Macaca fascicularis: one gene and its partners. The protein of the gene in region 1 purifies or fractionates together with the protein of each later gene. This does not show direct contact. Links are inferred from orthologs where the notes say so. Each region holds a gene or a part of one and is shown on either strand. Other genes may lie near its edges. The genes, in order: LRWD1, ORC4, ORC5 and ORC3.

The links.
Region 2: the proteins of LRWD1 (region 1) and ORC4 purify together in Homo sapiens (affinity purification with mass spectrometry; 3 studies listed by BioGRID and IntAct, with this or other methods). This does not show direct contact. The link is inferred for Macaca fascicularis from reciprocal best matches to the Homo sapiens genes LRWD1 and ORC4.
Region 3: the proteins of LRWD1 (region 1) and ORC5 purify together in Homo sapiens (affinity purification with mass spectrometry; 4 studies listed by BioGRID and IntAct, with this or other methods). This does not show direct contact. The link is inferred for Macaca fascicularis from reciprocal best matches to the Homo sapiens genes LRWD1 and ORC5.
Region 4: the proteins of LRWD1 (region 1) and ORC3 purify together in Homo sapiens (affinity purification with mass spectrometry; 4 studies listed by BioGRID and IntAct, with this or other methods). This does not show direct contact. The link is inferred for Macaca fascicularis from reciprocal best matches to the Homo sapiens genes LRWD1 and ORC3.

Annotation. Positions count from the first base shown.
Region 1 is NC_088377.1:51,096,088-51,104,235, reverse strand, and holds the start of LRWD1 (leucine-rich repeat and WD repeat-containing protein 1), read right to left. Parts: upstream 5,018-8,148; 5' UTR 4,876-5,017; coding exon 4,796-4,875; intron 4,448-4,795; exon of another isoform or gene 4,298-4,447; intron 4,162-4,297; coding exon 3,927-4,161; intron 3,825-3,926; coding exon 3,708-3,824; intron 2,800-3,707; coding exon 2,659-2,799; intron 2,420-2,658; coding exon 2,315-2,419; intron 2,077-2,314; coding exon 1,951-2,076; intron 1,876-1,950; coding exon 1,761-1,875; intron 1,585-1,760; coding exon 1,484-1,584; intron 1,299-1,483; coding exon 1,091-1,298; intron 825-1,090; exon of another isoform or gene 594-824; coding exon 521-593; intron 426-520; coding exon 285-425; intron 1-284. Other genes in the region: ALKBH4 (alpha-ketoglutarate-dependent dioxygenase alkB homolog 4), read left to right, coding at 5,121-5,243. UniProt on the Homo sapiens protein: Required for G1/S transition. Recruits and stabilizes the origin recognition complex (ORC) onto chromatin during G1 to establish pre-replication complex (preRC) and to heterochromatic sites in post-replicated cells.
Region 2 is NC_088386.1:43,518,742-43,526,385, forward strand, and holds part of ORC4 (origin recognition complex subunit 4), read right to left. Parts: intron 4,980-7,644; coding exon 4,906-4,979; intron 2,514-4,905; coding exon 2,437-2,513; intron 1,829-2,436; coding exon 1,738-1,828; intron 1-1,737. UniProt on the Homo sapiens protein: Component of the origin recognition complex (ORC) that binds origins of replication. DNA-binding is ATP-dependent. The specific DNA sequences that define origins of replication have not been identified yet.
Region 3 is NC_088377.1:145,659,386-145,666,776, reverse strand, and holds part of ORC5 (origin recognition complex subunit 5), read left to right. Parts: intron 1-3,654; coding exon 3,655-3,767; intron 3,768-6,121; coding exon 6,122-6,269; 3' UTR 6,270-7,391. UniProt on the Homo sapiens protein: Component of the origin recognition complex (ORC) that binds origins of replication. DNA-binding is ATP-dependent. The specific DNA sequences that define origins of replication have not been identified yet.
Region 4 is NC_088378.1:87,717,821-87,725,464, forward strand, and holds part of ORC3 (origin recognition complex subunit 3), read right to left. Parts: intron 6,258-7,644; coding exon 6,106-6,257; intron 4,835-6,105; coding exon 4,701-4,834; intron 2,221-4,700; coding exon 2,061-2,220; intron 1-2,060. UniProt on the Homo sapiens protein: Component of the origin recognition complex (ORC) that binds origins of replication. DNA-binding is ATP-dependent. The specific DNA sequences that define origins of replication have not been identified yet.

The DNA of each region.
Region 1 (8,148 bases):
GTGGCAGGAGTGGCTGGATCACGGGCACAGCATGGTGCGGAAGCCCCAGGTGAAGGGGAGGCCATCATGGCCCAGTCCCACAGCGGAACCCAGGGTGAGGGCAGGGTCACAGTCCTTTCCTCCCGAGCCTGGCAGGAAGGTAGGACAGGCCAGTTCCGTGAAGAGGCCCCTGAAAACAACTCTTATGGTTGCCCGAGTGTGCCCAGGCTGTTCTGAGCCCATCTGGGCCAATAGTCACCCTGTGCAGAGACCTGGCTTCCAAGGCGCCCCCTGCCCAGCCTCACCTCCTCTTCTGGGGCTGGTCCAGCCGCACATCCCAGCAGCAGCAGCCACCCTCGCAGCCGGCCAGCAGGCGGGCGTCCGGGCAGGAGGCGACAGGGCAGAGGCGCAGAGGGATGGAGGTGGTGTCCAGTGTGAGCAGCTGGCTGCCGGTGGGTGAGAGGGAGCAGAGCGTCAGCCCTGGACCAAGGTGTCCCTGCCCCAGCAGCTGGCCACTCCCCAGCCTCACCCGAAGCATCACCTGGCCTGGAATTCGTAGTCCTGGTTGGGCATCCCAATGTCCCAGAGGATGATCCGCTTGTCATAGGAGGCCGCTGAGGAGGGAGTGGGGCAGGGGAGAGGTGGCCCTGAGGTGGCCTTGCTCCCTCCTGCTGGCTGCATATGAGGCTGAGCCCGCGGTCACCGAGGCAGGGAGGGAGGGCCGAGGCTAGGAGACAGAACACTCCTGGGCCTACAATCCCTGTCTCCTCGCTGTAACCTGATGCGGTGGCTCCAGCAGCCATCTCCTGTAGCTCATCCATCTCCCTTGCCAGGGGGCACCACACCTGGGGGCAGGAGCATCCCCCCAGGTCACTGACAGGGGACAGAGTGGCCCAAACTGTTGGGAAACTCCAAGGCCACAGAGCAGGCTGTGGATAAAGCCAGGGTTGAAGTGCCATGGCTTCCTGCCAAAGCTAGAGTGGGAGCAGTGCAGCCTGGGGCCCGGCAGGCACCTGAGCTCCCAGCCATCCCAGGGAGGAGAGCGCGGAGGCCACTGGGGCAGCAGGACAGGGGTGCTTGGGGGTCCCAGGGGTGAAGGGGAGGGGCTTACTGAAGAGGTGGGTCTCATGTGCAGGGCTGAAGCACAGGGTGGCGATGGCCTTCTTGTGGGCCCGAATGACCCCGCAGCAGAAGCCGGCACGCACGTGCAGTAGCCGGACCAGGCCCCGCAGGCCTGCGGCTGCCAGCACACTCCAGCGCTTCTTGTGGCCGGCCTGTGTGACCACCATCAGGGCGGTCCAGGCCACAGAAAAGAACTCCTGGGCGGGGGTTAGAGGAAACAGTCACTGGGGCAGAGCTATTGGTGTGAACACCCGGGCAGGTCCGGGCCTGGGGGAGGGAGCCCCAGCATGAAAGAAAAAGGCCACTGGGCAGGGGGCCAAGCCTGCACCCATCCCCATGCTGCTATGCAGGAGTCAGTTGGGCACCCCTGCCCTGCACTCACCTCGCCGGGCGCCTTGTACTTGTGGAGCACGATGCCTGTCTGGCAGTCAATCACACACACGGCCTCCCCGCCGCACGTGGCCACGGTCTGGGATGTGGCCCCTGAGTGCCCGGTTTTGAGAGGTCAGATGAGCAGAGACACTTCCCATCCAAGTCCTCCCTGCAGCCTCCTCCTCCCAGACTTGATGGTGCCTTTTAAGCTCTGTCTCCTGATCCCCCACCCATCCAGGCGGCCCCATTTCCAGCAGCCCTTGCCCCGCCTGCCCGCCACCATGTACCCTCCTCCCAGGCTGGCTCGAAGGCACAGGCCCACAGCTGGGTCTCGAGGTCCTGAGGGCTGTTGTTCTTGCTGTGGCACTGCAGGAAGTGCAGGGGCTCCAGCTTCAGGGCAGGCTGTGTGGGGAGAGGAAGGTCACGGCTGCCCAGCCCCAACTCATCTGCCACCTGCTCCTTGCCACCTCAGCTCACCTGGCTGCCATCGGAGCCTGCCACAGGGCCACCCTCCACCTGGGCCGACGGGGAGGCACACGCCCGCTTGCTGGGAGAGAGGTTGAGTGGGACATCGTCTGGCCGTTTCAAGGCCGCCAGTCTGGCCTGTGGAGGGGGCCTTGTGACCATGGGCCCATCTGCCAGGGGCTTCCTTCCTGCCCATCACAGGCTGGACCCCACCTCACTGTGGGTGTAGGAGGCCCAGGCTGGCCCAGGGTCGTCTAGGGAGCGAGTCAGGGCCTGGGGTGCTTCCTGGGCCCATGCCCAGGTCACCTTGGTCTCCTGCAGCTTCTCCAGGCAGGAGGGGCTGGGCCAGCCTCAGAGCCCTAGGAGCTGCACTCACCCTGGGCTTGTGGGCAGCTCCAGCTTCTGGGGGCTTCTCTGGGCTGTCAGCCTCGTGCACCTGGGTCCTACTGGAGGCCACCAGCTCCTCAGAGATCATCCGCACCTGGGTGGGGCCAGGCCATCAGGAAGCTGGGCACAGTCCCAGGCGCCCCCAGCCCTGCCAACGCATAGTCAGGGGGAGCCTGTGCTTCCAGAGTTGGGGAAGGGCCTCTCCAGTCAACAGGGCTACCCACCCTGACTCACCCCACTCCCACAGCCCCTCAGCCCTTCACACCCAGGGACCTCCAGGCAACTAGGGATACGAGAGCCAGTGATTCCCTGCACATCGGGACAGGGACGTACCCGCCACTGGGTGAACTCGCTGAGGGACTCAGGCCCGTAGCGGACATCCCTGACAGCTGACTTCACAAAGTCTGCCTGGGCCTTCTCAGCCTCCTCTTCAGGGCCCAGTGTGGCCATGAACTTCTCCCAGTGAGCTGTGACCTGGTGCAAGAGGGAGCAGATCCAGGCCCGGCCCACCCCAGCTCCTCCGGACCCAGCCCTCCATCCTGCCACCTGCTGGAAGCCTCCTGGAATCACAGCCTCATAAACCACACACACAGACACACACACACACACCCCACCCCCACCCCACCCCGAAACAGCCCAGGGACCTGTAGTCCCAGCCACTGGGAGGCTGAGGAAGAAGCATCGCTTGAGGCCAGGAGTTGGAGCCTGGGGTATATGGCAAGATCCCACCTCTACAAAAAATTTTAAAATGATCCAGACATGTGCCTAAAGCCCCAGCTATTGCGGAGGCTAAGGCAGGAAGATTGCTTGAGCCCAGGAGTTGGATGCTGCAGTGAGCTATTATCACACCACTGCACTTCAACATGGGCAGCAGAGTGAGACCCTGTCTCTAAAAACAAAAAAAAAAAAAAGGAAAGTAAAAACCCAGAAAGAGCTACTTATAAGAGTCAGGCCGGGTGCGGGGACTCACACCGGTAATCCCAGCACTTTGGGAGGCCAAGGCGGGCAGATCACCTAAGGTCAGGAGTTTGAGACCAGCCTGGCCAACATGGTGAAACCCTGTCTCTACTAAAAATACAAAAAATTAGCTGGACGTGGTGGCAGGTGTTTGTAATCCTAGTTACTTGGGAGGCTGAGGCAGGAAAATCACTTGAACCTGGGAGGCAGAGGTTGCAGTGAACCAAGATCGCACCACTGCACTCCAGTCTGGGTGATGCAGTGAGACTCCATCTCCAAAAAAAAAAAGCACATCAGGCTAGGGGCTGTTAGGGCAAAGAGCCCCTATCAGTCACCCTCCTCGCATCCTCCTGATGTCCAATTCCATCACTTTCCTAATGCCGCCTATAGCTCCCAAGCACACAATAATCCTCTCATCCCCTTACCCTGCTGGTCAGCTCCCGATTCAGGTTCTCCACCTGAGAGTAAGTTGAGGACGCATCCTTGCCATTGACCTTACGGAGTGTGGGCAGGAGAAAGGAGACTTTCAGGTTGTCATTGACCTGGGGAAGAGGGGGTGAACGGCAGTGGCTCAGGAGATGCTGAGCCTGAGCCCAATAGAGTCCTGGCCCCCAGTATGAGGCTGGTGGGAGGCCCCCACTTACCGTCAGGAAGGGGTTCCCCTCCAGGCTGAGTTCCTCGAGCTTGGGGAACTGGCACAAGGCAGTGACATCCCCCAGCTGGTTGTTGGCGCAGCGGAGGACACGCAGGTGGGACAGGCCCAGGTTGTCCGGCAGCGTCTCCAGCTGGTTGTTAGATAGGTCCAGCTCCTGCAGCTGCGTCAGGCGGCACAGGAGCTTGGGGTCCAAGTGCTCGGAGAGCAGCTCCAACCCTGACAGGCTGGAGTTGGGGGCAGAAGGCTTAGGGGGCGGGCAGGCTTTGCACCCCACACCAATCTGCCCCAGCTATCTCAGAAGGCTTTTTCACCTGACATTTCTCTCACAAGTGCAGCCGCCCCGCCCCACCCCCTCGTTACTTTATTTTTAGAGACGGGGCGTCACTCAGTCGCCTAGGCGTGATCACAGCTCACTGCTGCCTCCATCTCCTGGGCTGAGGGATCCTCCCGCCTCAGCCTCTCGAGTAGGTGGGACTAGAAGCGCGCGCCACTACTCCCGACTCCCCACCACTTAAAAAAAAAAAAAAAAACTGCAACTACTTTAGGACTGAGGGGCATCCTAGCCCCCTCTAGGATGCTCTTCCTGATCCTTCGGGGGCTCCTGTGTGCTTCCCAGGCCCTCTAATGGTAGCTGCACGCTGTGCCCCTAACTCTCCGGGCTCCCTTCAGGGGATGAGGCCCCTCGGGACTCGCGGCGAACGGGTAGGGCCACGATCTCCCAACAAGAAGACATTTGGAGCGACTCTGCCGAACCCAGAGGGCGATAACGGGGACAGGCAGGCCGTTGGGGAGGGTCCCCGCTCTTCCCTCCGACCCCCGGCCCCGCGGACACAGCCTCGCCCCCTGCCCGCCTCTTACTCTAGGCTCCGGATCTTCCCCAGCCGGTCGCTCTTGGGGCGCCCGCGCTGCATCAGCAGCCGCGCCGAGAGGGGGCCCATGGCGAGGAGGCGCGGCCCGCGCCGACCCAGTCGGCGGCCCCGGCGTCTGGCGTCCCCCTGCGTCTCCTGGAGCCCGGTACTGGCGTCCGCGGTAACGGAGCCCAGGAGGTGGCGCCGCGCGAGCCCGTGGGCGTTAACGACCGGAAGGAAGCGGAACCTAGGCCTCGTGCCCCCGCCTCGCGCGGACTACAACTCCCAGCGGCCACTCACGGCCGCGCCTGCGCACTGGCCACCCGGACGGCGCGATGGCGGCTGCCGCCGCCGAGACCCCCGAGGTCCTTCGGGAATGTGGTTGTAAGGGCATCCGGACCTGTCTGATCTGCGAGCGGCAGCGTGGCGGCGACCCGCCCTGGGAACTGCCCCCAGCGGTAAGGGGTAGGGGCCTCGTCCACAGACGTCGCTCTGCATCTGGGGAAACTGAGGCCCAGCTTGGCCATGATACGGGCCGGGATCAAAGCCTGTGAGGGACCCTTGCGGTAGGAGCGATGCGGGCTGAGGAGATGAGGGCTTTAAGGAGCGGGCTTGGGAGTGGGGAAGGGGCTGGAATGTGGGTGGGTGCGATCACAGGTAACCTCGGGGACTCTGGGGGGATCTGCCTGCAAACCTCGACGTAGCCTCTCGGGTCTGGCGCTGGGAGCTTCACAGGCCCGCGAGGAGATGACACGGAAAGGGTCGATCGAGGGTGCTGAATACCAGTCCAGCGGTGCCTGAAGGCCGTGGACTGCAATGGGCAAGGAGACAGTGAATTCCAGTTAACTAATGAAGAGGAACTCAAGGATCGCTGCAACCCAGGAGTTGGAGGCTGCAGTGAGCTATGATTGAGCCACCTCACTTCAGCCTGGGCGACAGAGCGAGACCCTGCCTCATGAAAAGAAAATAAATAAAAAAAGAAAAAGAACTCAGCGCCTTTGGGCTGGCATGGAAGGATTGTGGTTGGTTGCAAGGGCATTCCAGCCCAGAAAACTGCGTGGGGTAGGAAGGTGGAGTGGTGATGGCTCAGGTGAGAGAGATGAGGCCGGAGAGGTTGGTGGGGGCAGCGGGGGGCGGGTGGTGTCTGACCACAGATGGTTCCCTGCGCATCAGCTGAGCAGGCTGGACTTGTCCCAAAGGCCATGGAAAGCTCTTGAAGGGTTTTAAAGGAGTGAAGTCAAATGTGCATTTTAGAAAGATCCTGGGAAGGGAAGGGGCAGATATGAAGTTGTAGAGGCTGGGAAGCCAGTGAAGAAACTGCCCCATCATCCATAGTAGAAGTGCCCAAGGTCCTGTGGAATCCGTATGGCATGCCTCATGAATTAAACATAGAATTACCCATGATCCGCAGTCCTGCTTCTGGGTATATATCCAAAGGAACTAAAAGCAGGGTCTGGAAGAGATATTTGCATACCAATGTTCATAGCAGCATTATTCACGACAGCCCAAAGATGGAAGCAAACCAAGTATCTATCAAGAAATGAGTTGGGCCGGGTGTCGTGGCTCTTGCCTGTTATCCCAGCACTTTGGGAGGCTGAGGTGGGCAGATCACCTGAGGTCAGGAGTTTAAGACCTGCCTGGCTAACATGGCGAAACCCTGCCTCTACTAAAGTTACAAAAACTTGCCGGGCTTAGTGAGGCACATCTGTAATCCCAGCTACACGGGAGGCTGAGGCAGGAGAATCACTTGAACCCAGGAGGCAGAGGTTGCAGTGAGCCGAGATCGCATCACTGCACTCCAGCTCGGGTGACAGGGCAAGACTCCTTAAAAAAAAAAAAAAAAGAGAGAGAGATGAACTGATGCAGAAAACGTGGTGTATACACACAGTGGAATACTATTCAGCCTTAAAAAGGAAGGACAGGCCAGGCACAGTGGCTCACGCCTCTAATTCCAGCACTTTGGGAGACCGAGGCAGGTGGATCGCCTGAGCCCAGGAATTTGAGACCAGCATGGGCAACATGGTGAAACCCCACCTCTACACAGAATTAGCCATGCATGGTGATACGCACCTGTGGTCCCAGCTACCCAGGAGGCTGAGATGGGAGGGTTGCTTGAGTCTGGGAGGTCAAGGCTGCAGTGAGCTATGATCATGCCACTGCTGCACTCTGGCAACATAGCGAGACCCTGTCTCAAAAAAAAAAGGACATTTTGACATATGTTACAGCATGGATGAACCTTGAGGACATGAGGCTAAGTTAAGGAAGCAGTCACAGAAGACAAGTACTGCAGGATTCCTGTTGTGTGAGCTATGTAGGGTAGTCACAAGGACAGAAAGTAGAAGGGTTGTTGCCAGGGGCTCAGGAAGCGGAGATGGGGATCTGTTGTTTAATGGGGAAAGAGTTTCAGTTTTGCAAGATGAAAAAGTTCTGAATGGTGGTAACGGCTGTGCAACAATATGAATGAACTTAAGAGTTTTAATTTGTGGGCCGGGCGTGGTGGCTCAAGCCTGTAATCCCAGCACTTTGGGAGGCCGAGACGGGCGGATCATGAGGTCAAGAGATCGAGACCATCCTGGCTAACACGGTGAAACCCCGTCTCTACTAAAAATACAAGAAAATTAGCCGGGCGAGGTGGCGGGCGCCTGTAGTCCCAGCTACTCGGGAGGCTGAGGCAGGAGAATGGCGTGAACCCGGGGGAGCGGAGCTTGCAGTGAGCCGAGATCGCGCCACTGCACTCCAGCCTGGGGCACAGAGCAAGACTCCGCGTCAAAAAAAAAAAAAAAAAAAAAAAAGTTTTAATTTGTGGAAGGGGCCAGGTGTGGTGGCTCATGCCTAGAATCCCAGCCCTTTGGGAGGCTGAGGCAGGAGGATCGCCTGAGTCCAGGAGTTTGAGACCAGCTTGGACAACATAGCAAGACCTTGCCTCTACAAAAAATTTAAAAATTAGCTAGGTGCGGTGGCGTGTGCTTGTAGTCCCAGTTACGTGGAAGGCTGAGGTGGGGGAATTGCCTGAGCCCAGGAGGTCAAGGCTGCAGCGAGCTGTGAGCGCCACTACACTCCAGCCTGAGTGGCAGAGTAAGACCCTGCCTCAAACAAAAAAAAAAAGAAATGAAAAGAAAAGAAATTGCGGAAAGTCTGACCCGCGCCAGTGGCCATGTGAAGGTAACACCTTCCCAACACGATGGATGTGGAACAAGGAAAATGAGGTGTCCAGGATCTCAGGGCACTGGGGCAGTTCCTCACTGACTTTCCAGCCTCCACCCCTTCATAGCTGCCCCTCCCCCTCTCCAGATCGTTCTAAAATTCACATTTGACCTCGTCACTCCTTTAAAACCCTTCAAGAGCGCTCCATGGCCTTTGGGA
Region 2 (7,644 bases), on another chromosome or scaffold:
TCAGGACCAGCCTGGGAAACATAGGGAGAGCTTGTCTCTAAACAAAATTAAAAAACACATCAGGTGTGATGGTGCATGCTTGTAGCCCCAGGTACTCAGGAGGCTGAGATGGTACCCAAGAGGCCGAGGCTACAGTGAGCTGTGATCATGCCACTGCACTATCTTCTAAGTAAATAAGTAAAACAAATAAATAAAAACTACTCTACCAAACATACTGTTAAAAGTATGTTTGACATAGCAAATAGTATGTTTTGTATGTATACATAGCAAAATAGTATGTTTGACAAGCAATAGTATGCTTGACTTTGACATAGCAATAGTATGAAAGACATAGCAAGATCCTGTCTCAAAAATAAAAATAAAATCTTCTGCTCTGCCAAAGACAATGTTAATATTAATAGTATGAAAAGAAAAGCCACAAACTGTAAGAAAATACTTGCAAAACAAAACTGAAAATCAGAAATATAAAGGACTCTTAAAACCTATCAATAAGAAAACAACCCAAATTAAAAATGGACATAAGACACCTCACCAAACATATACAGATGAAAAAGAAGTGTATGAAAAGATGCTCAACAGCATGTCATTTAGAGAATTACAAGTACAATGAGACACCAATCTACACCTATTAGAATGGTTAAAAAGTTTCTTAAATTTAAAAATTTGAAATTTAAAAACATTTCACATAGTTCTCTTGTGAAAACCACCCAAAATAATAGTGAATTCAAATGCAAAGAAAAACCATAATAAAAAACTCAAGAATAAAGAAATAGTGATTTATAGAAGCTGAGTATGAGGACTAAAACAAATTAAACATAGATTTGAAACCTAAAACTTACTGTAAATATGATTATAAATGTGAAAATTTGTGAACTATTAAAAGAAATTACCTAGATCTAAATTCTCAATTTACATACTTTAAACAATACTTGAGATGAGTGATAACAGTAAAATCCTAACATATTCATCATAATAAATTTCAATATATATTGCTTAAAATGTTAAAAAAATTTTACTTATCCATTTTTTAAAGTACATTAGTAAAAAATTTAAATTTATTGTATATAATACATGAGAACAGATTTTACACAGACTACTTAGCATTGAAATTAATTACTTTCAAAAGTTAACACCCATAATTTGTCTCCTATATTGCATAAAGGATATGAAAGAAAAGAGCAAGGGGAAATAAGTAAGAATATCTTTTTGAGGTAACTAAGGAAATACAATAAAGAGGAAAAGGAGACAAGAATGATATAAGATGTGAACATGCATCTTATGTAAAACTACGTAAATTAGGGTTAAACAATAAATAGTAATAATGTAGGAAAAATAAAAAGAATGCATGATATGATAGTTCTCTAACCTATAACAAAGGGAAAAACCCTACCTTGCAGCATTGATGTAAAGAATAAGTGAGAGAACATAATAAAAAGACACATAGTACATGCTCAATAAATGCTATTTTCTTTTTCCACTGGAAATCTCTACTTCTTCAAGGACAAAAGACCATGTTGGAACAAACATCAAGTGACAATTTGTCACTAGGAGGACAAATAAGGGGAAAAAAGGTCTGCTACACTCAAATATACCACCCTAACTTTATAAAGTTTTACATATCTTCTATGATTAAAAAAAGTAAAATGTTACAAAATAATGAAATGAAAAATATTTTCAGTATTATATAAAATAAGAATCATCATACGCCAACAAACACCAGAAATGAACAGCTTTTACCATAGTTTTTCCTGATCCTCGGGGTCCGATAATGAGGACAGAGTTACTCTCTCCATGGAGAGCGGTCCTTTTTAGCAGCTCACTTATGTGTCTAAAATGATATAAATAGGACAAAATTTTAAAAATGAAGCTGGAATACTTTGTTAGGTTGTAGTTTTTTAAAAGGCATATTTGAATATGCATAGAAATTTCCTCTCTTCTCTCCCTCTGGGCACTTGGCCTAGCCTCTGAATGGTCCTAAACAGAAAAATACAAAAGAAATAGGAGGGTAGTATAGACTCTGAAATCTTCAGGTGAAAATGTATCAGATTGGAATATATTGATTTGTATGATCGTGGGGACAACAGTGGCAACTCTCAGGACTCTTGGATTCAAATCTCTTTTCCTACTAATACTCTGAAATTTCACTCCATAGTTGGCTGCTGGGTATTAAGGGCAAGATGGTTAGAATTCTCTCCACAGTATTAGATAACATAAACAAAACAAGATTGAATGTTAAAGTGCTATTGCATTATGGAAATATTTGTATCTGCTTCTGCTTCACGCTATGTGGTGTTTCTATTCACAAAGCAAAATTTTTTACTTCTATAAAAGTGTTTGTTAGGTTTATTTAATATCAAACTTGTTACATAATTTTTGCAAGACCTGGAAGGCATCTGTAAGTTGGTCCGTAACAGTCAAAAGGACAGCTAGACTTACTTGTATTGTACTTGCACTCCAAATAGGTTACTATGTGGACTCTGATGACAAAATCTTTCACGTAAAATTCTTTGTACCTGATGAAAATAAAGTGAATAAATATAAAAATATTACACATGCATGGTGCGAAAAAAAAAAAATATTACACATGCAATAAAAAATGAGTAAGAAAGCACATTTACAATAGCCAGAATTAGTTATTAATGAATCAATTCAACCCTCCCTAAATTCTTATCCTCTAGAGTTATGGCACCATAAGTTAAAAAATTAATGGTGTTCTTATCTATCTCAAGTCCCACAGGAAGAATGAGAATTTAGTTGTGAAGGTTTCAAAAAAGGGAGAATCACTGACTTTAGTTATGTTAGCAACTCAAGGGCTGTTTCAATGCATGTGAATGAGTTCAGAAAAAAATTCTTATAAGGAGCTGTATTTTGAGTTCACCTTAGAAAAAGGGCCTTAGACTTAGTCATGAAAAATTATGTCAGATAATCTACCATACTCTTTAAAAAGATGGACCATTAAAGTCATTCCTTTTTGGATCTGCAGCTAATACAGAGGTCTTTCAAGGACAACCTTAGGGTGCTATCTCAGATTTGGCCCCATGAACTGGAATAAAAAACCTCCAAAAATATTTGCTTCTCCTAGACTGATGGCATGGAACTAATCCTTCATGTATCAAAGAAATAAATCTGAGTTCTTGTTCCATGTACAGAGGCTAAGCAAAGAAAATGATTCACTAGGGACAAAATGATACATACTTGTTCATTATAGAGGAAGTTAAAGAGTAAGGACACTGGTACCAGAAGAGGCTACTATATGAATTTTAAAAGGTTAAGTCTGTTCTAAATTTTAATTTCTTTATCTATAAAATAGGGACAATAACACCTTGTTGCAGGCCTGTTTTAAAGATTAAAAAAGTGGGGTGGCCGCGGTGGCTCACATCTGTAAATCCCAACACTTTGGGAGGTCGAGATGGGTGGATCGCTTGAGGTTAGGAGTTCAAGACCAGCCTGGCCAACATGGTTGAAATACCTTCTCTACTAAATATTCAAAAATTAGCCAGACGTGGCAGATGCCTGTAATACCAGCTACTTGGGAGGCTGAGGCAGGAGAATTGCTTGAACTCAGGAGGCGGAGGTTGCAGTAAGCTGAGATTGTACCACTGCACTCCAGCTAGGGCAACAGAGCAAGACTTGGTCTCAAAAAAAAAAAAAAAAAAAAAAAAAAAATTTAAAAAGGCAAAAGGCAATTATCTGTAACACAAATAGGCTTTGTACAGGTAATAGCTAATATCTATAAAAATACATAAAAGAACATATATATGTACTCAACTAGTGTATTCCTCTACCTAGATGAGATCAAAAGAAAAAACTCAATCCCTTCCTTAAAAACAAAACAAAACAAAACAAAAAACCAAAACTTCATTAAAATCTCTTAGAGGCAGTAATGGGGTGTAAAACATAAGCTAGATAAAGCTGCAGTGACTAGTTAGAAGGTTCACAAATCCCAAAGTGATCTGGCATGGAAGTTAAACAGGTATATACATGTATTGAAATTAATTCAGCTGTACATGGAGGATTCGTGCACTTTACATACAAAGGTACGTAAAGCATATTTCAGTTAAATTTTTTTTTTTTTAGAAATAGAGTTAAACAACTTCCTTCAAAAAGAAAGCCAAGTCTTATGAAGGAATACCAGTAACATTTAATTTTTATTTAAAAACTACATGTAGTTCAGGTCAAGCTAGATACATACAAACGTAGAAATACCATGCTCATTTCCCTACTAGACTATAAGCTTCTTAAGGAAGAGATATACAGATAGATGTTCAGCACTTGGAATACAGTATGCACGTCTGATAACATTCATTATAAAAACACTCGATAGACGAGGAACATTAACGGAACTTCCTCAACTTAATAAAGGGCATCTAAAAAAAAATCCTACAGCTAACATCATATATAATAGTGAAAGACTGAATGCTGTCTCTCTAAGATGAAAACAAAGACAAGAATGTCCATTATTTCCATTCCTATTCAGCATTTGTTCAAGCCAGGGCAATTAAGCAAGAAAAGGGGAGAAAAAAAAGGTATCTAGATTAGAAAGAAAAAGGAAAAGCTAGAATTCTGACTACCCGGACTTAATAAGGATAAAATTAAATTATAGTATAAAACACTAATATTAAAAAAATATATGAACTGACAAAAAGGATAGAGAACAATCATAACAACAAGAAAATCTGTTGGTCCACATTTAATTTTTACAGAGTCTGGAAAATTTTGCTTCCAGATGATTGTTCTTACGACCTTGTACTGATATCTCAAGGTCTTGTACTGACATCTCCTTAAGGTTAGAAAGAGTGATTCTTCTTATACGCTAAAGTGAAAATTCAAGTTAAGAAGATAACTATTTCTCTCAACACTTTTATAGGGTAAAAGGTCTTGAGATTAATGAAAATACATACTAACCTGTGAAAGGCACTCTGCGTGAATTAAGCTGTTACTCTTTGATTTACGACTGCTCATTTCAACAAATTCAAATCCTTAAAAAAATTGGCATAAATATTATAAACATAGTGACTTGAAGAGATAATACCTAAGAATATACTGTTCTAGAATTAAATACAAGTTTTTAAAAGTAAAAAATGCTCAAACCCTAAGACCTTCAAAATCTTCGATGGCTTCATTTTGTCCAAGTACAGGATTATTCAACACTCTCATACCATACTTTAGGTACACTTGGTTTTATTGTGCTTTGCAGACAGTGCATTTTTTTAAGTAAACTGAAGGTTTAGAACAACTCTGTGTCCAACAAGTCGATAGGTACCATTTTTCAAACACCATGTCCCCATTTTGTGTCTGTCAGCATTTTTCAGCAATAAGGTATTTTAAAATTAAGGTATGTACATTTTTTAGACATAATACTACTGCACACTTAATGGACTAGTATACTGTAAATATACATTTTATATGTACTGAGAAAAGTTTTGGGTGATTTACTTTATTGTGATATTTGCTTCACCGCAATGGTCTGGAACTGAACCTGTAATAATACCTCCAGGCCTGTATGTGGTTCTTAACAGCTACTCCTCCGTTTCCATTAAATCTTCTATTCACCTTCCCTTTCTTCCTTTTTCTTTAACTTATATGCTTCCTTTATGATTCTCCCACCCATCCATCCCACAGGATCATCCCTCATAGAAAACCTTCCTTTCTTGCTCCACTCACCAACCATACACAAATAATCATTACAGACTAGGTTAAATGCCTCTTCTTTAATTACTTATAAGTGCTTGTATTTCTCTTTATTATTTAATTATTTTGAACAAAATTATCTGTTTATTTGCTAGTGTTTCCAAATTGAGATTTTTTTATATTCCAAGCATTGTAGCATAATGCTCAAAACAAAGTTGGCAATGAATAAATGGAATGAAAAAAAATTAATGAAAAATGTATAATTCTTGTAAAATTCTCCTCAAGTTACCATACTCATAGACAAATACCTTTGACTAAAAGACCTAATTTTCTTAGCACTGATTTCCTATAGGACTACTTTAACAGTTAGACAGTAACAGCTTAAGCAGTGTTTACTTAGGTATCAGGAATTGTTACAAATAATTTGCATTTATCAACTCATTTAATCCTCAAAACTACCCTATGGGATAACTACTATTATAATCCTCTTTCAAGGTTAGAAGACACAGATAGGCTAACTATGTTGACCAAAATCAAACAGTATGTAAATGGAAGAGCCAGGATTTGGATCCAACCAAGTTAACAGCTTTTTTAAAAAACTGTATTCTGGTCTCATCTAGTCTCCAGAAGGAACACAGCTTTGCTGACACCCTGAATTTTGCCCAGTGAAAGACATTTTGGAACTTTTTTACTGCCAGAACTCATAAAACTCAAGAAAAGCTGACCTATCATCAAATCACCAATGATTAACATTATAATAATGTGAGAATGACGGCAGCAAGATGAAATAGGAGGCCCTTCAGCTTGTGTTCCCAAATAGCAACAATAATTTCACAGCCACCCACGGACAAAAGTGTCTTTGTGTTAGCCTTGAGATGCAGGCAGGCGTCTGTGAAACCCCAGTGGGGCCCAAGACCTGGGAAAGTCAATTTGAGGGCAGATCTTCATTCCCCAACTGTGGTCCAGGCTTCAGACTTGGAAAGGGCCCTGTCCTCCTGAGGGCTTAGCTAAAGCCTGATAGGACCTTGTTACCAGGGGCTGTAGCAGGATATGAAACCTATCTGGTGGTGGACTGGACTTTTTCTAGGACATTGGTCTGTACAGGGGATGAAGATATGCAGAGAAAAGACCTGTTACCAGGTGTGTGGATGGTGTGGCTTTCTCTGGGAACCTGGGAGGGCTCCTACTGGATCACTGAGTGGATAACCTGAGCAGGCACTACTGCCATAGTCCCCAGCTGCGTAGGGCTGGAACTAAGTCACAGGGTTGCTTCAGGGCCTACAGTCAAGACTTAGGTCTTCAGGCCTGTCTAAGGTGTCATGAACCTGCATGCCTCCCTTCAGGTCCTTAGGTTGGTGGGCCTGCTCTCAAGCTGTACTGAGAGGGGCTGGAGCTACTTTTAAGGGGTGTTTCAGGGACTGATGAGGGACCTGGGTCAGGTGGCCTGTTGGCAGGGCTATGGACAGCCCCATCTCCCTCCAGGATGCTGGGTAGGCAGAACCGCTTTCTGACCATAGCTGAGTGGGGCTTATGCCAAGATTCAGGGTTGTTTCAGGACCTGCTGTGGGACTGAAATCTGCCTGCCTGTCCTGAGGACATGGAAGGGTGTATCTCCTGACTACAGGAGAATTTCTGTGCAGGATTTCTGTAAGACTGTGGCTAAGATGTGCTGGATTCCCAATTCAGAGCTTTTTCAGCATATGCTACGGGACAGAGACTGGTAAGTCTGTACTGATAGCACAGACAGGTGAGTCTCCTAGCAGTTCCTTGTGCAGGCAGGGTTGCTCTCAGGCTGCAACCAAGAGTAGCAGGAGCTGAGCTTCAGGGCTGTTTCAGGATATAATGTAGGACCAAGTTCAGAAAGCTTGACCCAGGGATTCAGACCGTTTTGTCTTCTTGCGGGTCCTTGAACTGATCTCAGACCACAGACAAGTTAAAGTGTCTTATCAGGGTCCACAGTTGAGACTGAGGACAGTGGACTTATTTTCTGAGGTACCAGTGTGCATGACCTTT
Region 3 (7,391 bases), about 95 Mb from region 1:
AAAAAAAATTAGAAAATTGTTAGCTATATTAAAAACAAATGGGCCGGGCGCGGTGGCTCAAGCCTGTAATCCCAGCACTTTGGGAGGCCGAGACGGGTGGATCACGAGGTCAGGAGATCGAGACCATCCTGGCTAACACGGTGAAACCCCGTCTCTACTAAAAAATAAAAAAAAAAAACAACTAGCCGGGCGAGGTGGCGGGCGCCTGTAGTCCCAGCTACTCAGGAGGCTGAGGCAGGAGAATGGCGTAAACCCAGGAGGCGGAGCTTGCAGTGAGCTGAGATCCGGCCACTGCACTACAGCCCGGGCGACAGAGCAAGACTCTGTCTAAAAAAACAAAAAAACAAAAAAAAAAACAAATGGAGTCTATGTATGGTCCTAACGAAAGGTAAAAGTTGTCAGAGTGACTATAAAAACAAAATCCCACTATATGTTATTTACATGAGAACTGTTTTAAATTGAGAAAACATGAACCTTGAATGTAGAATCATGAAAAGTCACATAAGAAAAAGGCAGAGCACATAAAGGAATGCTAATATAGCTATATTAAGATTAGAAAAAAATACATCGTAAGCTAAGACATTACTGGAGAAAAAAAGAGTTATTATAATGAAAAGGTTTGTCAACAAAACGTAATTTTAAATCTGTATGTACGTTACCTAGTAACGTAGCTTAAAAAATACAAAGCAGAAAAAGATTCTGTGATAACGGAAGAATTTTAATACCTGTGTCAGTTTTGATCAGGCAGATTTTAAAAATGTAAGATTTAACCATACAAATAATGTCTGTTACATATGTGTCTTATGTAATAGACATATATGTAACAAAGCAATAGACATGTAACAAAGCACGTAACAGTTGCAAAATACATATTCTTTTCAACACACACACAGAATATTTATAAAAGATATTTCAAGTTGTAACCTAATTATTGATACTGAATTAGAAATTAAAGTCTTAGCCTTTTGAATGCAGAGCTTTGTATTTTGATGTATTAATATAAATTGCTTTTCCAGTTGAAATAATGTTTCATATTTACTGAATATAGGATTTTCTCTACATAAGATACTCTATATATTTATTATCTGTTCACCCTTTGATTTGTTAGTAAAGTAATCGCAGACTGAATACTGCATGACAATTTTCCCTTCAAAATGGTAATGGGAAATGTAGTATAATAAGATGATCATGGATTCTTGAATTCTTGCTAAGCCAGTAGATCTGGAATAGGGGGAAAGTTACTTAAGATCTCTAAAGCTCATCTATTTAAAAAAAAAAAAAAGTATAATAATGTCCACCTTGTGGACATGAGGGTAATGAGGAATAACATGAGATAGTGTGTATAGAGTACTTAGTACCAAGCAAATTACTACTGCTATTAGTGTTTTTATTATTCATAGGATGTTTACTTAGCATCTGTAAAGTATTAGTCCCAAATTAAGTGAACATTTTAATTCCTAAGACATATGATTAGGTATGCGTAACCTAAAACTCTTCTTCATATTGCCACTGAACAGTTACAGGTAACTAAGTCTCCAAATGTTATCTTACTGCCATTGCTGGCTCTTTTTCCTGCTGGCCTATGGGAGATAAAAATAAGAAATTAGGAGAAGACAATGGGCACTCAAAGAATTTCAGTTCTTGGATCAGCTTCCTTTCTTAGATTTCAAAGAACTTAATATTTTAGTTGGCCTTATGAATGTTAAGTGATTTTGTACTTTAATTTTGACCTATCAAAATACACTTTTGCTTTTACTAATAATCCTTCTGGTGTTTTCCTGAGTACATGATCAGCAGTAAGTTTTAAAGCAATGGTTGGGTGCGGTGGCTCACGTCTGTAATCTCAACACTTTAGAGGCTAGGTAGGTGCATCACTTGAGCCCAGGAGCTCAAGAGCAGCCTGGGCAACATGGCAAAACCCCATGTCTACAACAAGTACAAAAAATTAGCTGGGTGTGGTGGCATGTGCCTATAGTACCAGCTACTCAGGAGCCTGCTGTGGGAGGATCACTTGAGTCTGGGGAGGTTGAGGCTGCAGTGAGCCATGATTGTGCCACTGCAATCCAGAATGGATAATGGAGTGAGACCCTGCCTCAGAAAAAAAAAAAAAAAAAGAAAGAAAGAAAGTTTTAAACCAAGACTAAGCCCAGTTCTGAAGGATGTATTTCTTATCTTTTATCTAGCCAGCTACCCAACTCTTAAAAGGGCCTAAATCCATATTATAATTGTTTTATTCCCAAAGGAGTATAGATTTTGTATTCTGAGTTATTTAGATAGAAATTCTGTAAAATGTTTAGAGAAGGAATGTGCTTTATTTGCAGCTTTTAAAGGTTTGGCAGTCATGTGTCTGAGTCACTAATGAAACAAAGCTGTCTCTAGTAGAATTCTTAAGGACTGATTGTTTGAATCAGTTGTTAAACTAGGACTCTTGGTTGGGCTGAGTGCAGTGACTCACACCAGGAATCCCAGTGAAGCAGGAAAAGTTCCCTCGTCCCCCTCGCAGGGGTAGTGGCTCGCCTCTTCAGTGTCCTGCTGCTCAAACCTCTAATGGGAGCATGCTCACGGACAAGTTGTGGAGCTCCCACCCCACAGCAGCATCTAGGGATGAATGCTTACAGCTCCTGAAGCCCCAGTGGGTGTGTGTTACAGTGTGCTCTTTTAGTTTTGCCATCTGTAGGTGGCTTGTGTTAGCTCAATTAGACCCTCTGCCGTATCGGACAGAGAGAGGGCTTTCTGTATCCCGAGTTCTTGCCTTGGTGTACCGAAAAATCAGATCAAATGTGGGCTTGGAGAATGAGTGTGAGGTTTTATTGAATAGTGGAAGTAGCTCTCAGCAGATGGATGGGGAGCCCGAAGGGGGATAGAGTGGGAAGGTGGTTTTCCCCTGAAGTCTAGCCGTTCTTGGCCAAACTCTGTGTCGTCCCACCATAGATGGCCTGCTGGCATCTGCAGGTGTCTGCTGGTATGTTCCTCTCGCTGTCCAGCCGCTTGTGTGTTCTTCCGCCAGTGTATTCCTCTTAACGTCCAGCCAGGGTGGTCTTGGAAAATGTAACATTTAGGCATGAAAACTGAAATGCCAGTCCTTACCTAGGTCTGTGGGCACAGACTTGGGGGTGGAGCACTAGCCAGGGACCACGCCCTTCTCTACCCAGCACTTCCCTGCCTTCCCCTCCTGTATCACTGACCCTTTGGGAGGCCAAGGCAGGAGAATCACAAAGCCAGGAGTTCAAGACCAGCCAGGATAACACAGTGAGACCCTGTCTCTACAAAACAATAAAAAAATTAGGTGTGGTGGGCATGTGCCTGTAGTCCCAGCCACTTGGGAAGGCTGAGTTGAGAGCACCACTTGAGCCCAGGAATTTGAAACTCCAATGAACTGTGATCAAGCCATGGCACTGTAGCCTGGGTAACAGAGCGAGACCATATCTCTAAAAAATAAAAAAAATAAAAAAACGAGGACTCTGACAACTAGTCCTAGTTGTCAGACTAGTAGACATGTACAAATTTGTGTTTACAGATTGCAAAGTAGTCATTTTCTTTGCAGACTTTTTTGTGATTCAGTTATGTATCTTTATCAGACTATAAGATGTTTCAGAAACAAAAGTATTACATAATCTTATTAAAACAGTTTCTTATAAAAATGTTCTCTTTTAGATTACCTCTCTAGTGACCCTTCAGCTGTTAACCCTGGTTGGCCATGACGATCAGCTTGATGGACCAAAATATAAATGCACAGTGTCTCTAGACTTCATCAGAGCTATTGCAAGGTAAAATGTCTTGAATTATGTAAATGAGATACTAAATATAAAAATTAGTGTTTTCCTAATGTAATGTCATTAGTCATGACTTTTAAACATGAAAAAAATCATGTATTTAAGTGCCAAGAATGAATAACCGCTACTATAGAATGAACTTTCTCAAATTTACAAATGACATATAATTGGGAGAAATAGCTAATATGTTAGAGGACAAAAATCAAGATTCTGAAAGACCTTAATAGGCTGGAATAAATGATCCCATAGTAGCAAGGTAAGATTTAATGGACAGTTGGCTACAGAAAACTCTATTGTATTGAAATAAGATGGGAGAAAGCTGACTTAAGTCCTAAATTTTTTAGCTGACTACAAGGCTTTAAAAATCCTGACTTAGGTAACACTGATAGAAATATAGTGTCTAGGTCAGGGGACATAATCATTCTATTGTGTGTTGTCACAGGCAGATCAAATCTGGTGTGCTGTGCTGTGTTTAGAGTTTTCAGAGAGACAAATGGATACATGCTGAAGGGGCACGAGGAGAGTGGTAGAATGAGGAATTGTGTCACATCCCTGACTGAAGGACAGAGTGTGAGAGAAAAGCCTTAGGAAGGACATGTGAACTGTCTTAAGTATTTCAGGGGTCTGTCATGTGCAAAATGGATGAAACTAATTCTGAGTAATTCTAGAGTGTTGGAAGTTCTGGGGAAGAAAGTATATTTGTCAAAATGAAAGCTGTCTAAAAATACAAGTTTCCTTACAAAGAAGTGTACTTAGTGTTATGGAAAATGTTCAAACCATTTATATGAATAAGTGACTTCATCATACGGTTGCAGCTGGATAACAATCTGTCAGGATTGTAATGGAAGAGGTGATGAGTGTGTAGACTGGCAGGTTGAACAGGGCATTCCATAGACAGTGTGTTCCTAATCTTTTTGAATATGAAGATTCCATTTTAGCATCCTTTAAAAATTAGTCATAAAAGTATTTACATATATTTCAAAATTAACAGTATATAGGCATGAGACATTATTTTTTCCAGCCTAAAACAGTGCTTGATATCAGTATAGATTTGCAGATCTCCTCTGATGATTAATTTTACAGCTTCTTGAGATTCTGAAGTCCATAGGTTGGCAGCTTCTCCCTGAAGCCTCTTCTGAATTAAAAGTGCTCTGAAAAATAAATAAATAATAAATTAGTGAATGAATGGCCAGATGCAGTGGCTCACACCTGTATTCCCAACAGTTTGGGAGGCTTAGGTCGGAGGATTGCTTGAGGCCAGAAGTTCAAGATGAGCCACAACGTAGTGAGACCCCCGTCTACAAAAAAATGTTTTTGAGTTCTGTGATAATATGATGCAGGTATTTACCACATTTTTGTGGCATATAGGCTCTAAAACATGAAGTCAAGGGTTTTAATGTTTCATTTTAATAAAACCAGGCAAACTTTTACACAGAAAATTGAGCAGAAACTTATTTTTTAGTGTGTTAAGTATGATCACAAAGCAATTACTTCCTTTTAAAAAGCAATTATATTGGAACTTCTGTATCTAAGAGCCTCTATCCAAGGCATAAATTTGGAGGGAAGCCTGTTTATTTCAGGGATTTTATTATTACTCTGAATGTTAGGTTGTGCCCCAACATAATCATATGCAAAACAGAAGTTTGTGGGTTCCTAATATAGTGAATCTCCATTGAATCAGACTTAATTTGACATTCCTTTAGTGCAGAGCATCACAGTGATGGATGCTCAACACTTTCAGAGACATGCACTTTCATTTACCACCTTGCAAGCAAGAACTTTAGACCTGGAATCTTGGCATAGAACTTCGGGACTCTGTAACTTTCTTTTGTTTTCTTTACTGTTCTCTACTTCCCATGGGCAATATCCGTAGAATGAGCACCCGCTCCTCCCCACACCTGCCCTCTTCCATTCTCTCATCCCCATGTTTTGTACTTCGTTTTTGCTAACTTTACCTTTCATTCTTTCCCTCCCTCCCATGTGCCCCATTCTTCTAATAGTCTTCCTCATTGCCTTAGCTAAAACCTGATTCCTTCTTTGGGATGCTGCTTCCCCTGGACTTATCTCTAGTTGTAGCTATGTATTTTCTCAAACCCTAATCCCTCAGGGTTGGAGGTCATTTCAGTGCCATCCTTCCTGTTGCCACTTCCAGACTGTTACTGCCCCCAACTTCTTATAAAAATGTGGACTTCCTTGAGACCCATGCAACCTGGCTCTATTTCCCTATTCTCCTTAAGACTGATTTTTGTCTCCCCAGCCATTCCACTTCATGTATTGAAATGATAGGGCACCTGGTATCCAGACTTCTTTTCTACCTGAATTTTTTTTTTCTTTTCTTTTTTTTTTAGATGGAGTGTCTGGCTCTGTCACCCAGGCTGGAGTACAGTGGTGCGATCTTGGCTCACTGCAACCTCTGCCTCCCAGGTTCAAGCAGTTCTCCTGCTTCAGCCTCCCATGTGGCTGGGATCACAGGCACACACCACCATTCCTGGCTAATTTTTAGCAGAGACAGAGTTTCACCATGTTGGCCAGGCTGGTCTTGAACTCCTGACCTCAAGTTGATCTGCCTGTATCAGCTTCCCAAAGTGCTGGGATTACAGGCATGAGCCACCGCGCCCAGCCTCCACCTAAATTCTTGACTCTGTTTAAACCACAAATTCTAATGTCTGCGTTCATTCTGTTCAGTCTTCACTCTGTTTCACAGAACAAAGTTGAAACCCTCAATTGAGAATTGAGCTACCTGTGTTGGTGTCCATCTTCTCTTACTTTCCTTTTTCAGCAGGATGGGTTTCTTCTTCCTAAGGTGGATTCTTTTACCTATGCTCTGAATTCCATCTCCTCCACTATCCCAGAACCTCTGTTAGTCTCGGCTGTTTGTCCTCTCAGTGGCACCTAACACTGTTGGCTACTGTGTCTTTCTTAAAACTCTCTTCTCTTAGACATGATTCCACAGTATTCTGGTGTTCCTCTTTATTCTTTGGTTGTTCTTACTAACAAAGGTTATCTTTACCACCTGACCTTTAAATATAGCTGTTCCTTGAGGCTTGGCCCTAGGCTCTTTTCTCATATTACATTTTTTTCCCTAGGCAACTTGAGCCACACCTGTGACTTCGACAGTCATCTGTGTATTAATAATGTCCCTATTTTTAAAGACTAGATCTATTTTTTATAATATTCTTGACCCATCGCTTCTCGGCCTTTTGGCTAAGATCAAGTGTACAATATTCTTGACCTTTATTGTTGTTTCCCAGCTATAGTAATACATTTCCAAAACCGAACTTAGGAATTCTAACCTCTGCTTCAACCCGCCAACAAAAAGTGAAATATCTGGCTTTCCTCCAGTGTTTCTTATTTCGGTGATAAGCACTGCAGTCTGTTCTGTTGCCCAGGCCTGAAATTTGAGAGTCTTTCTTGACATCTCTCTCTCCCCCACTCGTAATATTCAACCATTTGGCCTATTGAGCTTACAAAGCCCCTCTTATTTGTCTCAATTTCATTCACTTGTTATCATGATACTTTTATCACTCTAGATCAAGCCACCATCATCTCTTCTCTAGCAGTCTAATTGATCTTCTGTCTGCTCTTATCCTCTTATAATTTATTATCCATGCTGTAGCC
Region 4 (7,644 bases), on another chromosome or scaffold:
CTCTTCATAAATATTAAGTATTAATAATGAGGCAAAGAACGATACTATGACACAGGTAACTACGAAAGATGTGATAGTAGCTGGTTTTTTTAAGCTCAAATGTCAACAAAAATTTTAAGTTAATTTATACAACAGTAGCAAAAAGAAGCTACTTATACTATATCTTCAGAACCAAAGATCTATACCATCTTCCATCAAATTCCTAATTTAAAAAATGCCACCTATTAACTATATGATCCTTTTTTTTTTCCCCACCAGAAACTACTGAAGAAGCTGCAGCCTTTGGCAATTCTTATTACCAGATGAGATTTTTTTCAATCCTACCAATTCAAATTAAGGAGTAACGTATTATGTATTGTTGAATGAGAAACACAAAATTAACACAAACGTCTATTACAAAAGTATAGAATAGCTGAATTTGTATTATTCGGCTAATTTTCAATAGTCTATAGTAATGTTTTACATCTGAAAATGAAAAGCCACAGAAGGCTTCTTAAACAGAAGCATAGTTGTAAAAGGCCAATTGAATTTGACTATAACCAAGTTGTTTTTTTTTTTTTTTTTTTTTTTTTGTAGAGGAAAGGTCTTGCTCTTTTGCCCAGGCTGGAGTGCAGTGGTGGCATCATAGCTCACTGTAACCTTGAACTTCTAGGCTCAAGTGATCCTCGCACCTCAGCCTACCAAGTAGCAGGGATTATAGGTGCTTGCCACCCTTTCCAGCCTAGCCAAGCAAATTTAAAAATTGTAGTTTGAAAAAAATTCTCCTTAAAGTGTCTATAGATCACCTTTATGGAAAAAACCAAAAAAACAAAATCCATGTATAAGTGGCTAGTGGGCAGGCTGTTATTAGTTTACCTTAAATAAGCAGCATAAAGCACATCTTAAAGGAGGTGAGTCCAGAAGAAATTTGGGGAAGGTCAATGATATGGTTTGGCTGTGTCCACAACCAAATCTCATCTTGAATTCCCAAGTGCTGTGGGAGGGACCTGGTGGGAGGTAACTGAATCATGGGGAAAAGTCCTTTCCATGCCATTCTCATGACAGTGAATAAGTCTTACAAAATCTGATGGTTTTATAAAGAGGAGTTCCCCTGCACAAGCTCTCTCTCTTTGCCTGCTGCCATCCATGTACGATGTGACTTGCTCCTCCTTGCCTTCCACCATGATTGTGAGGTCTCCCCAGCCAAGTGGAACTATGAGTCCATTAAACCTCTTTCTTTTGTAAATTGCCCAGTCTCAGGTGTATCTTTATCAGCAGCGTGAGAACAGACTAATACAGTCAATATTAAAGAATCATACTTGCATTTATGTAGAAACACAGTTAATTAACTTTAGTTGCTAAGGTCTAGGAAAATGTTTGTATTTATTTGTTGTCATGAGCAGCATGACAAATCAGTTAGGAAACAGTCCATTAAAAATTTCAAATCATTTTATACAAAATGTAAGAGTCAGGCTGGGTGTGGTGGCTCATGCCTGTAATCCCAGCACTTTGGGAGGCCAAGGTGGGTAGATCACTTGAGGTCAGGAGTTCCAGACCAGCCTGGCCAATATGGTACCCTGTGTCTACTAAAAATACAAATTAGCCAGGCGTGGTGGCGCACCACATGTTGTCCCAGCTACTCAGGATGCTGAGGCAGGAGAATCACTTGAACCTGGGAGGCGGAGGTTGCAGTGAGCCAAGCTCGCACCACCACACTCCAGCCTAGGTGACAGAGCTAGGTGCCTTCTCAAAAAAATAAAAATTAGAAAAACTAAAATGTAAGAATCAAAATATATTGTTACTAGGAAGTCTACAAATTCTGTAAAAATTTACATTATAAACCTATAATTTTTTACTGAGTAAAGATAAAAAGATAAGTACAAAAGAGGTAATATACAAAATCACTGTAAAACTATAAAACACTACAAAAATTATTAAGTAAAAATATTAAAGTATGTGAAAGAATATGTTCAATATAGTACTCAGAGTTGTAGGGGCTTATCATTAAGAGTTATCTTAACAAGCTATTATTGGCAGTTTTCTTTTCATCCTATTTCACTGGTAAAACTTATTCTTTTTACCTTATCGAGTACCGTAGTCAGGTGCTCCTTACAAGACAAAGATTGGAACAGTTCTATGCACAATAGAGATGATACTGCATGAGGAAGCAATCGGTGGATGATAATAGGAGATGTGGCAATTCCAAAAATGAGTATTAGTGGAAATTCATGGAGATGATGACTAGTTTTGAAAGAAAGACACGAAAGTGAAATTTATTTAGCAAATGTATTTCAATACATCATATTTCAAGATAAGACAAACTTTATTTTAATGCTTACTTTATAAGACACTATTAAGGATTATCACTGCAAACACTAAAATTTTCTAAGTCTTTCACTTTCTTCTTTTAAACAGAAAAATAATTACTTTCCAGACAGTCTAGCTCTGAATTCAATCTCTTAATAAATCCTCTCATTTTATAAATAAGAACAGAGTGGTCCAGAAAGTTTTCCCGAAGATTATACAATCTTTTTTCTTTTTTTTTTTTTGAGATGGAGTCCCGCTCTGTCACCCAGACTGGAGTGCAGTGGTGCAATCTCGGCTCACTACAACCTCCGCCTCCTGGGTTCAAGCAATTCTCCGGCCTCAGCCACCCGAGTAGCTGGGACTACAGGCGCGTGCCACCATGCCTGGCTAATTTTTTAATTTTAGTGGAGATGGGGTTTCACCATATTGGTCAGGCTGGTCTCAAACTCCTGACCTCATGTGATCCACCCACTTCTGCCTCCCAAAGCACTGGGATTACAGGCGTGAGCCACGGTGCCTGGGCTGAAGATTATACAATCTTAAGTGTTAGAAGAGGTGTTAGATACCATTCAATTTAATCTCTCATTCAAAGTCTGAGCTCTATCTATAGTCTTCCTCACTTTTGATGGCTAAGGTAGTCATTAAGTCTAAGCTCCAAAAAAGCAGAGCTTTTCTGTCACTATTTTGTACTGTGTACTTTCCCAGCATGCTAAGCAGTTCAGTGTTAGCATTAAGAAAAGTCCTAGGATCTGGGCTGGGTGCGATGGTTCATGCCTGTAATCCCAGCATTTTGGGAGACTGAGGCAGGCAGATCTCTTGAGGCCAGGAGTTTGAGACCAGCCTGGGCAACACGGCAAAACCCCATCTCTACAAAAAATACAAAAATTAGCCGGGCATGGCGGCATGTGCCTGTAGTCCTAGCTACTTGGGGAGCTAAGAAGGGAGGACTGTATGAGTCCAGGAGGTGGAGGTTGCACTGAGCTGACATCATGTCACTGCACTCTAGCCTGGGTGACAGAGCCAGACCATCTCAAAAAAAAAAAAAAAAAAAAGGAACTCCTAGGATCTAGAACTCTTAGAATCAATGAGGGAAAAAAGATCCTATCAAAGTAGGAATTTAAAGTACATTAGTAAATTAGCCGGGTGTGGTGGCTCATGTCTGTAATCCTAGCACTTTGGGAGGCCAAAGAAGGTGGATCACCTGAGGTCAGGAGTTTGAGACCAGCCTGGCTAACATGGTGAAACGCTGTCTCTACTAAAAATACAAAAATTAGCTAGGCAGGGCAGCGGGCACCTGTAATCCCAGCTACTCAGGAGGCTGAAGCATGAGAATTGCTTGAACCCGGGAGGCAGAGGTGGCAGGGAGTCGAGAACCCGCCACTGCCCTCCAGCCTGGGGGATAGAGTGAGACTCCGTCTCCAAAATAAAATAAAAATAAAATAAAGTATACTAGTAAATTATTCAACAAAATATATAGCTTTAGTCAAATGTAGCTATAACTATTAAAGCAAGTTGACATATAGAAGAGGCCAAAATAAATTCCACCCTAAAAAATACACCACAGAAAATGCGTGTCACTGGATTTTAAAATTAGGGTTCAATTTCAATTCTGAGTCTCACATGATTGTTTTGAAGATGCAATGCAATCATGAAAATAGTTTCTCACTAGAAATATTACATAAATGTAAGATCATGTTATTTAGAAGACACTTTTGCTTAGTAAAACTGTATGTAACTCACAGCATCTAAGGATGGATGGGTATCAGAAAATAAGACCTAATAAACCTCGCAACTTGGCCAGGCACGGTGGCTCACTCCTGTAATCCCAGCACTTTGGGAGGCTGAGGCAGGCAGATCACCTGAGGTCAGGAGTACGAGACCAGCCTCGCCAACATGGTGAAAGTCTGTTTCTACTAAAAATACAAAAATTAGCCAGGTGTGGTGGTGGGTACCTGTAATCCCAGCTACTCAGAAGGCTGAGGCAGGAGAATCACTTGAACCCAGGAGGTGGAGGCTGCAGTGAGCCGAGATCGTACCACTGCACTCCAGCCTGGGTGACAGAGCGAAACTCCATCTCAAAAAAAAGAAAAAAACAAAAACAAAAACCTCAACTGGACTAGTTTACCTACTTAATGGGTGAGTAACAGACAGTCAATCTTGGTGAGATAAACCATATTTAACACTGTCTTACCATGTCTTTTTAAAACTGGCTAAATGTGCCTTTGATTCTCATTCTTGGCTCAAAAAGCAAATGGAAAATCTGATAGGAGGTCTTTGAATATTCAATTATAAAGAATTTGAATACTTTGATTTTTATCTAGTTGGTATTAAAATGAAGATTATACTTTTCAAGTTAAAAGTAATATTTTCTTAAAAAGGGAATTTTTCATAAAAGCAGGCGATATACCATCTACCTGCTGATGATTATGAAGTCTTGTAGTACTTTTGTAGCAAAGCTTTCCATATCCTTCAAGATAACCACAACAGGAGGAGACAGCCATTGACTAGAAGTAGTCCTCTTTTTGCTTGGCATTTTTGGGTCTGTCTTCTTTTAAACCATTGCAGAAAGAAAGAGTTAAAGGTAAGCCTTACCACCCAAACAATGTTATAATGCCACATGTTGACATATCTCTCTTTAAATTTCACAGTAACACTGTTTTTTTTCCTACCACATGATAAATAGAAACTCAGGTTACTAGAATCTTTCTGTGTCTGACATGGGAATAATAACCAAGAAGAAAAAGGTTCAGTAAAACTCTATAATTCATATGAAATATTTATATTTTCTGCTAAGGAAATGACAGAAAAAAACATGGAAGAAGAGAAAATTTTCTACAAAATTGATTTTTCGATTGGTAGAAAGTTATATTCTGCTTTGCTTTACAGTGAGAACTAGTATTTTTAATGAAAAAAACATAATGAATAGTAGTACTTGCTACTTTGCCACCGTGAAATTTCAAGCCTGAAATGGATACTAGGTATCATCTGGTCCAATCTCAATTTTTAAAAAGATATCTGACACAAACTGAAAGTAGCATTTGATTTCTGGAAAGTCCAAAATTGTGGAGCAAATAAGGTATTCTGGTTAAGTATTAGACATAGTTGAGTCCCTATATAAGGCAAAATGAAACTTCACTTATGATGATTTCAGCAAAAATGTTGATTGGAAAATGTAACCACAGTATTTTTTTTTCCTATACTGTCTGGGTACATAGCACCATAACCTAAGACTATGGTTTTAGGACGCAGTTACCTAGTGTTAACCTAGGTTATTCTTTTTCACCAGACTGTCATGGTAGAATGGAACTTCTTTTTATTTATCTGTTTGTTGAACATACTTTACTTAAAGAGCGCTGATTCCCTAAGAACTCTAAACATAAAACAAATTAGATTTTAGAAAATCCATGATTACTCTTCATTGAACTAAGTTGACAGTGGATACTAGCAGCATGGTTCTATCGGATAAAGCAAACACTGAGGAACCCAAGAGATAATATATTAAAGTTATAGTTATTGTCACAGAGATGGAACCTGCAACAGAGGCAATTCCTGATGCTCTGTTTTTGTCATTAGAGGACATTCTCCCACAAATATGTCCTTGTAAAAACCTAAGCACTTACCAGGAATTAGGCTACATACTAGTAAAAAAGATTTTAAAATTTGAGTAGCATTAGAAAAATAGCTACTTTTAAATTAATACCTAGTGCTGCAGAAGCATATCCTTGTTAGATCAAAACAGGACTATGTCTAATATTATTCCAAGCCACATCAATCATATGTCAGTTTCCTTGGGGGAGAAAATCGTCAGTTTATATCTACCTGTGTGACAGTCATATACCAACTGGAAAGTGAATCCATTGAATAATGTGTTTTTCTTTGGGTGACCTGAACACTTTCCTCCTCTTTGGATTTTATATCTACACAGCAGTCCATCAACTGTGAGACCAACTTTTGCAAAAAATGTTTCATATCTGTGGAATATAAAAAGTAAGAAAGCTTATCTCTGCCTCTTCCATAAATAAAACCAAAGCTCTTGAAACTTCTTGATCAGTATATTACTCTTTTTTGGTAGAATGTGTTTTTTTATACTTACCATCAATATAGCTAATATAACATTTAACATTAACTATTGATGCTCATTAGTACCTGCATTAATTCAGACTAAGACTAGACCAAAGCTTATGCATATTATAATTTTTTTTTTTTTTTTTTTGAGATGTAGTCTCACTCTGTCGCCTAGGCTGGAGTACAGTGGCGGGATCTCGGTTCACTGCAACCTCCACCTCCCAGGTTCAAGCGATTCTCCTGCCTCAAGCCTCCCCACTAGCTGAGATTACAGGCACATGCCACCATGCCCAGCTAATTTTTGTATTTTTTAGTAGAGACAGGGTTTCACCATGTTGGCCAGGCTGATCTCGAACTCCTCACCTCATGATCTGCCTGCCTCGGCCTCCCAAAGTGCTGGGATTACAGGCATGAACCACCACTCCTGGCCACTTATGTATATTATCTATAATAAAAAGGTCACATAAACAAATGTGTAGACAAGCAAACTATAAATTTTAGGAATATGTATTTAAATAACACAGAAAAATAAAGTTTTCAAGGTCCCTAAGAAAAATCAAGTGTCATATGAATTATTTTACTGATTATAAATCTTTCATATAGCCATTTTTAAAGATGCCCTTAAGGACTTTTACTTAATTTCAATCAGTTTATAAATATGAAAGCAATATAAGCACATAAATCTCTTTTATCAATCTAAATCCAAACAAATTTTACTACATTATGGCCAGGCATGGTGACTCAAGATGTAATCCCAGCACTGTGGGAAGCCGAGGCAGGACTGCTTGAGCCCAGGAGTTCCAGACCAGTCTGGACAACATAGCAAGACCCAATCTCTATAAACAACAACCCCACAATGTAGCTGAGCATAATGGCATGCACCTGTAGTCCTAGGTACCAGGGAAGCTGAGGTGGGAGAATTGCTTGAGGCCAGGAGTTCAGGGCTGCACTGAGCTATGATCATGCTACTGTAGTACAGCCTAGGCAACACAGTGACACCCTGTCTCCAAAAAAAAAAAAAAAAAAGGAGTGTGAACACTCTTTATGATTTCATGGGTTCACATGCTCAGGATTAGCTCTGTCAATGGACTATTTTTTACCATGGTGGCTTTTCAAAGCGGGACAGTAAGATGATTTATGGCTGAAACATGAGCCCACATGTCTACTCTCTTTTGAGATGAACAAGAGCTCCTCATTCCCCAATTCTCAGCTTTCCGCCCTAAGTCTTTCTACTTATTAAACGTTTCACTGGGTTAAAGAACGCATCTCGCAAAATGCCTGGACTGCTACCGG